2 linked regions of the Drosophila melanogaster genome follow. The protein of the gene in region 2 interacts with the protein of the main gene of each other region in a pairwise test. Each region holds a gene or a part of one and is shown on either strand. Other genes may lie near its edges.

The links. The genes of interacting proteins can lie anywhere in the genome.
Region 1: the proteins of CG18788 (region 2) and Cdc5 interact in a two-hybrid assay, tested with the Drosophila melanogaster proteins (one large-scale study listed by BioGRID).

The regions. Positions count from the first base shown.
Region 1 is NT_037436.4:357,350-363,390, forward strand, and holds Cdc5 (cell division cycle 5), read right to left. Parts: upstream 4,035-6,041; 5' UTR 3,780-4,034; coding exon 3,735-3,779; intron 3,666-3,734; coding exon 3,400-3,665; intron 3,341-3,399; coding exon 1,896-3,340; intron 1,837-1,895; coding exon 1,148-1,836; 3' UTR 1,051-1,147; coding exon of another isoform or gene 682-1,050; 3' UTR 502-681; downstream 1-501. Other genes in the region: CG1231 (uncharacterized protein), read left to right, coding at 1-110; Roc1b (regulator of cullins 1b), read left to right, coding at 682-1,050; CG1233 (uncharacterized protein), read left to right, coding at 4,309-4,350, 4,404-4,992, 5,078-6,041.
Region 2 is NT_033779.5:12,032,467-12,036,670, forward strand, and holds CG18788 (uncharacterized protein), read left to right. Parts: upstream 1-1,723; 5' UTR 1,724-1,758; coding exon 1,759-1,801; intron 1,802-1,879; coding exon 1,880-2,667; intron 2,668-2,727; coding exon 2,728-3,519; 3' UTR 3,520-3,665; downstream 3,666-4,204. Other genes in the region: dmGlut (dietary and metabolic glutamate transporter), read left to right, coding at 1-111, 180-803, 865-1,065; Tom70 (translocase of outer membrane 70), read right to left, coding at 3,805-4,204.

The DNA.
Region 1 (6,041 bases), on a different chromosome or scaffold from region 2:
AGCCCTGCAACATGATGATGAACCATGAGAGCACCTTGCAACAGCACTTTATTGGCAAGAAGCACCTGAAGAGGGTAAAAAACCTTTCCCAAACTGAGAAGAACGTGTAAAGAATTTATTTGATATACCCTAAGCCTAAGCCATGACTTCCCGTTAGCAGTAAAGCTTCCTTAATAATAATGACATTCGAGTTTGGGAAACAGCTATTTTGTTTAAGAAAGGCATTATAAAAACCGTAATTTGTTATCATACCCATTACTCATAGAGGGGTATATTAAACTCGTTAAAAGGAATACAAATTTCTATCGATATGCCAAGATAATTTTGAAATTTCTCTCTCAAACTCACTCCCACTATCTGGTATCTGATAGTCGAGAAATTCGACTATAACATTCTTTCTTGTTTAAAAAAATTGTCTAAATTTAGGGATTCAAAAGTGGTTTACCGATGATAAGCTTTCTTGAGCCCCACTTAATATGATCACAAGGTTTAATTTCTTTTCTGCATTTATTTTTAAAATTATTCGCCGTTGTTATTTCGTAGATAAATCGGTAGTGGTCAACTTTTTTTTATTAACTGTCAGGCCAAAAACAAATGGAATTTAAAATAGTTCAAATCAAATTCGAATACGAAAATAAGTGTTGTATTTTGAAAAAGAAAAAAAATTCGTAATTTCACACCATGGCCGAGGAGATAGAGGTTGAGGAGACGGAGGACTTCCACGACATGGACTTCAATGACGAAGAGCCATCCTGTAGTGGAGGAGCTGTCCAGGCCAGGACGGAGCGCTTTGTGGTGAAGAAATGGGTTGCGCACGCCATGTGGGGATGGGACGTAGCAGTGGACAACTGTGCCATCTGCCGTAACCACATCATGAACCTGTGCATCGAGTGCCAGGCGGACCCGAATGCAAACCAAGACGAGTGCACTGTGGCTTGGGGCGAGTGCAACCACGCATTCCATTACCACTGCATCGCGCGCTGGTTGAAAACGCGCCTGGTCTGTCCGCTGGACAACAAGGAGTGGGTCTACCAGAAGTACGGCCGCTAGCGAGGAATATGGATCGGGATATTAGGTGGTGATAGCTGTTTGCTGGCATGTAATTACTGTAATTAAATAAGAACGGACTTGGGTTCCAAAAGAAGGTTTACGCTTCCTGGTCGGGCAGGAGTTGCTGGGCCGTGGGCCTGACGCCAGTTATATGTTCGATTTGAGAGTAAAGCGAATCGCGCTCCTCCACTAAGCTAGCGTACTTTTGCTGCAGCTCCTTCTCGCGGTCCATCTGGCGACGCACGTCCTCTTGCAGCGATTCCAGGCGTCGCGGCACAGCGATGGCCTCCTGTTCGCCCAAAAAGCGGAATGTCGAGAGTGAGACAGAGTTCTGCTCAATCTGGCCGTACGTGTCCTGAAGCTGCTTAATCAGCACCTGGGCGCGCGCCTGGTAGCCGCCGGTGAGAATCTTCAGCTTCTTCTCGATCTTGCCGCAGCGCTTGGCTTCCTTGGCCATGTGGCGGCGATTTGTCTCCAGCCGTTTCTCGGCAGACTCTAATCGATCCTTCTTGCTGGCCAAATTGGCGCGTGTGTAGCGATGTTGGGAGGGTAGGTAAAGAACCTGGCCGAGGCACTCCTGCCACACCTGGGCATAAACGTCTAGGGGCAGTTCGCCATGCGCCATGCGCTCCTTCACCACCTCCATTTCCTCGGTGAGCATTTGCTTGGCCTTCGCCAACTCTTGCTGCGAGATGTCCTCGTAGGGATTGGCCTTAAAGTAGCTTTGTAGCTGTTCCAACTTGTGCTGCGATTGACCAGGCACGGGATCCTTGACCGAGTCGTACACTGCCAAGAAAAAGGACGTTAGTTACTTGGGTTAAAATGGAAACGTTGGGTTTACTCACGCTGCATGGTGATCATTTCGTGTTTAATCAGCTCTTCGGCCTGCTGCTGTTCCGTAAGGTTCTGTTTCTCGGACTGCGGTCGCAGAATCTTGGTGTTCACTTCAGTTGGTCGCGGGAGACTACGCTGAATAACCTGGGAGCGCTTCTCTAGCTCTCGCTTTCGGCGCGCCTCTTGTTCAGCCAATAACCTGGCGTCGACATCCGCCTGATCCTCGACGGCGGGTTCTGAGTTGGTCTCAATGCGTTCGCTTTCCTCCTGCTCAGGCACCACGATCTCATAGTCATTCCGTGGAGCGGGCAGCGTGGAGAGACCGTCACGCAGTGTAGACTTTAGTTGCTTTTGGTAGTTTTTGTAATGTGCTGGGGTCTCGGTGACGCCCATACTCTCCTCAGGATTGATGCTTAGCTTGTCCCTCACGTAGGCAGGTGTATTGACGACACCCGTAGCCCCTCCTGCCCCCTTTACGGGAACTAGGGCTCCGGAGGAGGGCGTTTGGAATCCGCCGGGAGTGGCTGCTCCGCCCTCGCGTTGGGTTCTAAACGGCGTGGCAATCACTGTGTTAGGCGTGGCGATGGAGGCCGCCTTGGGCAGCACGCCGGAGAAGTCTGACTCGTGCAGCGGTGTGTTCAGGCCACCTTTGAGTGGCGTCTCTGTGTGGGTGAGGGCCATCATGTTTTGGGCCTCCTGCATGATGCGATCGGTGTACGGAGCCGGAGTACGTGGAGTGGCTGCTACCTGGGGTGTAATGGAGTAGTCGGCTAGCAAAGCATCCGTCGTCTCTATGCCGCTCTCACCGGCAATTTCCTTTGCCATCTCACTGGCGCGTCCCAGCTTGACTACCTGCTGTAGTTCCATGTCGGAAATCTGCGGCGTAGGCAGGACTAGTTTGGAGCGCTTCCGCTCGGGCTCCATGTTTTGCAGCATTGCGGTGGGCACTTCATTCTCTTTGCGCTGCTTCAGCTTCTGCTTGTCCCGCTTGCGTTCGCGTTCCTCCTTCTCTGAGCGGAGTTCTCCATCTAGGTCCTGCTGCCGCATCTTGTTGAAGTCGGGTTCATTTTTCTGCAAGTGTTCCTCGGAAGTGTCGTAGAATCCGTGGGCAGGTCGCTTTTCGAAGGGAATCTCGGCGTTGTAGTCTATTCCCTTGATCCGCTTGCGATTTCCGCTGCCAATTCCGGCGGCACGAAGTTCGCGCCGCTTTTGGAGAGTGGCCAGGCGGCGGGCTTCCTCCAGTTGCTTTTCGCGAGCCTTGCGCTTGGCTTTCTTGCCTTGCGTGTTGGCCAAGCGGGCGCGTGCCTCGGACAGCATTTCCAGCTCGTCCTCGTCCATGTCCTTGGGATCGGGCCGCGCCGGCTTGGTCTCTGGATTGGGGTCAATCTCTCCGGGCTTCAACTTGCGAGGATCATCCATCGTGTCCTCGCCATCCTCTTTGCGTTGGGCTTGGTCTCTGTACGGCAGGAAAGGGATCAGAAATTTTCTACTTAGTATGTTGTGCGTTGGACTCACAGCAAGTACTCATAGCGCTCCAGGCACTGGGCTGCCGTCCGTCCGATGATCGGGGCTATGGTGCGCCACTGCGTCGGCATCAGCTTGGCCAAGTGGAGCAGTTTCTCGTCCTCCTCACGGGACCACTCGGTCTTCTTGATGCTGGGATCCAGCCACTCGTACCACCTGGCCTTGCACTGCTTGGCGGACTTTCTGTGCAGGAGGGAGGCAATTCGACTCCACTGGTTCTTGCCATATTTCATAACCGCAGCTTTGAGGATTTCATCCTGGGAAAATGAAATCGGTAGCCAATGTAAGCCATGTGTGGTTAACCGATAGACTATTGGGATAATTACCTCCGTGTTGCGCCACACGCCGCCCTTGATCATTATTCGCGGCATTCTGGGGCCTTATGTTGCTTTCTGTCGCGTATACAATGGATTTTCACAATTTTCACTCGAGTCCACGAAACTCCGCTCTTTTTTTTGCAGTAGCCGCTAGCGATGGTTAGTCTTCGATAACAGCGATATCTCCAGCACGTTTTGGTATATTTATAGAACCTCTAGTTAAACTATTCTAGCTTAGTACAAAAAAATTTCATTATATTGTATTTAGTCTTCGTATACCGTTTGATTTAACTTCGGTCTTAATATTGGTAACTTAAATTATTCAATTTAATAAAGGGCCTATACACACGACATAACATAACGCGACAGTGTGACCGAATATAGTTGTGCAAACACCGCTGCCACACTGTGTACAGCAACAGCTGTTCGCTATCAGTTATTTTGTGATGAAAAGTTTTTTTTCTGCGTAATGCCAATTTTTGTGATGCGGAATTAAGAGGCGTGTGCCCAGGAAGCGGAAAACCGGCAACCGGCAACCGGAATCCGGCACCGGGAATCAACTGGACCAAGGAAGGCACCCACGATGAGCGATGCGACCTATCCGGGATATTACGGCGGCAACCAGGTGAGCAACCAGCGAGTACCTCTGGCCAGAAAAACACGCCGTGTGTCTTCCAGCTGCTCCCGTTGTCGCATCCGCATCCTACACATCCGCACCAAGACCTGTCGCTTTCCACGCCGGTTCACTCCTTGGAGCAGGACTCCAACTTCGGGGGATTCTTTGACGAAGAGCTGGTCATCGGATCGGGATCCGGATCTGCCTCCGCGTCTGCTGCAAACACCACCCCTTCTGGAACTACTTTGTGGCTGGCCGATGGCGGGAATCGATCACCTACTGAGGTGGCGGTGGAGTCCCAGCCCAATCAGGGCATTCCCTTTGTCCAGATCCACACCACCGACTTGCAGCAACCAGAGAAAAGCTACCGCAATGCCTTCCGCAGGCGTACAGCGGAAATTAAGTCGGAGGAACTAATCAAGTCGGAACTTGCGGAAGCGGCAGCCAAGGATCGCCTGAATGCCACGCCAACGCCACCAACTCGAAATTCCAGCTGCGCCAGCGTGGAGGGCAAGGCAATCATTCAGGAGGGTCCGCCTCTTATCCTGCGCTGTCCTAATTGTCCATTCTTAAGCCTCTGCCAGATGCGTCTTCAGCAACACCTTAGTCAGGGCAACTGCTATATGGAGCAGCACAGGAAACAGTGTCCAGGTGAGGCATAGTGCGCCTTCAATATGAGTGCTCTGCTGGAATGCTTCATCATATTTGCATTCACTTTTCACGTGTTTTTCGACAGGCTGCTCAAACATTTTCTACACCAGCGATGCGCTCAGCTTGCACCTCAGCTTGGACCATCAAATGGAGGACAGTGAGACACTTGCGCTTATGGGCAGAAAAGTCACTGAAGCACAAACTAAAAAGCAGACTCAGATGTCGCAGAGCCAAAATCGACCCAAGAGCCGCATCTTTATAAAAAGCGTAGATTGCCTAAGGGAGCCACTCCCGGATTTCCCGCCCTTAATGCCGGATAGCGGGTCCGCCGCTAACATTCTTGATCTGCTGGAAGGTGTGGCTGTAGGTGCATCGCCGACCGAACAGACAATGCCAACAGCACCTGCTGCGAATTTACCAGCTCCGCCGCCAAAGCCCATCCAGAAGATCTCCATCAAGAGCGTGGACGTGCTCAGGGAGACCGCTTTGCTGCCGTTCGACTTCCAGCTGCAGAACCATTCGGTCAATACGGACAATAGTCTCCCTGAAGTTCCTGATGTTGTCGGGGAGCCGGAGAAGCCGCGCCAGCCGAAGATTTATATCCGCAATGTAGACATCCTCAAGGAACCGATGGTTTTGCCATCTGCTCTGCCCGGTCTGGGATTCAATAGCACCATGCCGTCGGCAGCAGAGCCAGGACAAAGTGGCCTGGTTGTAGGAGGAGCAGATGGTGATGTCTTCCAGTCGGAGACACTACTAACGCCCACGTGTCAGCTTCCAGGATTCGAGCCCAGCCTCGCCCCGCTCGCACAGATGTGTTCCGAGGCATTTCCCTTTGATTCTGTGCTGAATGGCAATGGAGCACCTGCCGCCCATGTGGAAAACACACGTTTTAGTGCTTTGGACCTTGATTTTGGTGTGGATTTTGTTTCGGAAGAGGCAACTCCGCCACCTCCTCTGAATGATCCACTGACAATGATGGAACCACAACCTGTCCAGCTGGAGCACTACATGCCACCTACGGCTCCCATTACGACCAAGCAAAAGAT
Region 2 (4,204 bases):
GTGGGTACTATCATGGGCAACCTGTTGTCTGGCGTGTTTATAGACGCCTATGGTTGGGAGTTTGTCTTCTACTTCTTCGGGGGTCTGGGTGTTGTCTGGTTTGCCATCTTTGTAAGTATAGGCTGAGCACTTAGCACATAGTCAAGACTCGTTATAATCCAAACTATTCTTGCTCGTAGATGTTCCTCTGCTACAGCGATCCCACGTCGCATCCCTTCATCAAGCCCAGCGAGCGCGAGTATCTGGTCAAGGAGATTGGAACCATTAGCCGCAACGAGGACCTGCCCCCCACTCCCTGGAAGGCCATCCTCACCAACCTGCCCATGTTTGCCCTGGTGGCCGCCCAGATTGGTCACGATTGGGGCTTCTACATCATGGTGACGGATCTGCCGAAGTACATGGCCGACGTTCTTCAGTTCTCGATCAAGGCCAACGGTCTTTACTCCTCGCTGCCCTACGTCATGATGTGGATCGTTTCCGTGGGCAGTGGCTTTGTGGCCGATTGGATGATCCGCCGTGGCGTGTTGAGCACCACAAACACCCGAAAGGTGATGACTGGTCTGGCTGCCTTCGGTCCGGCCATCTTCATGGTGGGCGCCTCCTACGCCGGCTGCGATCGTGTCCTCGTCGTGGTGCTCTTCACCATCTGCATGGGTCTGATGGGCGCCTACTATGCGGGCATGAAGCTGAGTCCCCTGGACATGAGTCCGAACTATGCCGGAACGCTCATGGCCATCACAAACGGAATTGGAGCAATCACCGGAGTGATCACGCCGTACCTGGTGGGCGTGATGACACCAAATGTGAGTATCATAAAGGTGATGTTTTGAAACTTTAGCTAATCTGGTTGTTCTCCTTTTACAGGCCTCGCTGCTGGAGTGGCGTCTTGTGTTCTGGGTGGCCTTTGGCGTGCTCTGCTTCACTGCCGTGATCTACTGCATTTGGGCATCCGGAGAGGTGCAGCCGTTCAATAACGCACCCATCCAGCCGCGCTCCGTCGACTTTGAGGCACAGGAGCGCAAGGTGGGTGGTGAAAAGACAAGTGGTCTGGAGCAGAGCTCGTAAGGTGGATCGCCAAAAAAAAGTGCCATACATATATGTATACATTGTAATCTAGTTAAAGTGCTGTCTACGCGGATTCTGGAATCCGTAATCTGGGATCCGAGTGGTTCCCAAAAGCAGTGTCATGCTGTATACGCAGTGGCTGTTGTTCAAATTGCTAGTTTTATAGTATTCCCGATCTGGCCGATCCCTGGCATCAGCGCCAACTAATTAATTTAAGCGAATTTACTTACACTCCCGAACGTCCGCAGTGCTACCATGTTTATCCCTTTTGTTAGCTAGGATAATCCTTAGCCTAATCCTAATCCTAAACTATACCCCTATGCCGCGCACGCAACGTACTCTCTTAATTATTATTTAGTATTTAAACAAACTGCGATTTCGCATTAAGGATTTCGTGTACCAGAGCTCGTATTGCCGTATTGTAAATCAAATGATGAAATAATTTGTACATTTTAAATTGTTGATCAATGTGTAAAGTAAAGCGTGTTTTTAGCTGTTCTGTTAAGACATTACTGTTTTTATGATGTTAGTCAAATAAAGTGTATAAAGCTAATTAAAACTATAAATCTAAAATCCAGTTTGTAAAAATGTATTCATGATATACTCATATAATAGGTATTAAATAGTCTAAAGGGGCATCTTCTAGTAGGCGTTCTGCGATTTGTCCAACTTCTATAAAACAAAGTTACCAAAATGCTGCCCGCTGTTGAGCAAAAGTTGAGCGATATATTTATATGTATGTATATGTATGCATAATTCAGCGATTTTACGTGGCATCCACTACAACCAGATGGTTACCCGTTCCATTCCACAGATCTGGAGGTGCGACAGCGCTGGGTTCTCTGCTGCTTCACATTTTTGGCGATCATTAATGCCTACACAATGCGTTTGTGCTTGGACTGTACGCTTAACCGAATCATATTGGAATGTGGTGGTCATAGGGTGGACAACGTTCCTCAAGTACTAAATCCAAAGGCACTGCCCAACTGGCGTATTGAACTGGCCATGGCACTGAATCACACGGAATATCAACTGAGAAGCCGCCTAAAAGCGGGAAAGGAGCAACCAGATCTCAACCAGATAAGCGCCAAAGGAACGCGGGATAGAGAACCTGCCGGTGAGAAACGTCCTGGTCAAGAGGACTCTCAAGAACGTTTGAGCTGCTCCGAGCAGTGGCCTCGCCAAACCCAATCCCTTGTAGTAATGGCCTTCTATGCCGGCTATGTGCTCAGTCATGTTCCGGGCGGACGGCTGGCGGAGAGGTATGGTGGAAAGTGGGTGCTCAGTGCGGCCATACTCACGTCAGCGGTGCTGACCCTGCTAACTCCCACTGCAGTGCGACAGGGCGGTCTGTATGCCCTTGTCGCTGTCCGTCTATTGGTCGGAATTTGTGAGGGCCCTTGCTTTCCGGCCGTGTGTGCACTCCTGGCCCAGTGGGTTCCGGAACAAGAGCGCGGAATGCTGGCCAGCTGCGTACTCAGTGGCGGTGAGATCGGCATCACGATGGTCCAGTTGGTCAGCGGGTTGCTTATTGCGGAGCAGGATTGGCCCGTGTTCTTCTATCTGGTTGGTGGAGGAGCCGTGGCCTGGTTCTTGGGATTTGTAAGTCTATACGAAGTCTAAAGTCATGATAATCATAGTTTAAACCAATTTGTTCCCAAGACCTTAGTTTGCTATAGCACTCCGGATCATTGTCCGTTTATTCAGAGCGAAGAAAGGGAATACATAAGGTGCAATACTAGCAACTCCTTTTTGTTGACCACTGGCAGAGAAAGAGAGGAGATGGACGGGGAAGATGGATATGAAGGTGAGGATAGGGAGCACCGCAGAGAAGTGGAAGCAACGTGCAACACTGCACCTTGGCGGAGCATGCTTAACAGCACGCCACTCTGGGCCCTGGTTTCCACCTCCATGCAGCAGGAATTCCAACAGAAATTGCCCCAGGAGCTGCAAATTGCGCTAGAGGAAGTAAGAGCCCGTGGCACCAGTTTCTCAGAACTAACCACCATCATCGAAACGATAGCACCGTCCGTTGGAAACTGGATAGCTTCACTGACAACAGGGCGGCTGAGCGACGTGCTAATCGAGCAGCAGATTCTCACGCGCACTCAGACACGCCGCCTCATGTCCTGGTTGGTCTTCCTATGCGGATCCATGTACATGCTACAGATCAAGATGAGCGGAGCACGAATCTGGAGCGTTCTTGGCATGGGAGCCTACTATGCGAGCATTAAGCTGCTACCGCTGGATATGAGTCCCAACTATGCTGGCACTTTGATGGGCATTTCGGGCGGCATGGGCGCGCTTCCAGCACTTCTGATGCCCTATCTGGAACAACTGGAGACCGACTACAAGCTGGTGAGCAGTGTGAGGGCCGCCATGTGGGTAATCGGCGCCAGCTACATATCCGGCGATGTCCAGGCGTTTAACCAACCGGAACGGGAGCCACAATGAGGAGACTTGCTTGTTTTAAGTTTAATCTTACGCTTAAACATAAGCTACTGGATTTGTCTTAGTGGATTCCTTAGGCAACAGATTCTAGTTTACATATGTACCATAATACATGACAATTTCTATGCTAAAGCTAGGAGCATAAACGTAAACAAGCTTTATATATATATATATAAATAACAGGTATGGTCGATATTAACTTAATTAGAGTAGGACTGCTGGCTAAATGCTCCGCGCTGGCTCTTATTTTCTCGGGATATCAATCCCAACACACACCGGTTTCATACTCTATGCAACGCCCTGGGCCATCAATCCGGATTGGGCCATTGCCGACACTGAGTTCATGTCGATACCCAGCTTTTTGGTGACGTTGATTTGGGCCACTGCCGCGTTGCGCAGCGAGTAAACGTGCACCAACTCCGCCTGACTCTTGGCATAAAGCAGTGCCTTTTCAAAAAGCTCGACGGCCCGTGTGAGTTGCGCCCGCTGAACTTCGACTGTTCCGAGTGTCTCGTAGGCCAGCTCGCATTTGGGATCTACTTCGATCGCCTTGTTGAGCAGCTGGACAGCCAAATTAATGTCTCCGCGCCACTGAAGCACCATGATGGCCTGGTGAACGATAAGTGCAGGATTTGTTGGCGCCAATACCATGGCCTTTTTGTAGTATTCCTCCGCCTGGGTAAACTGT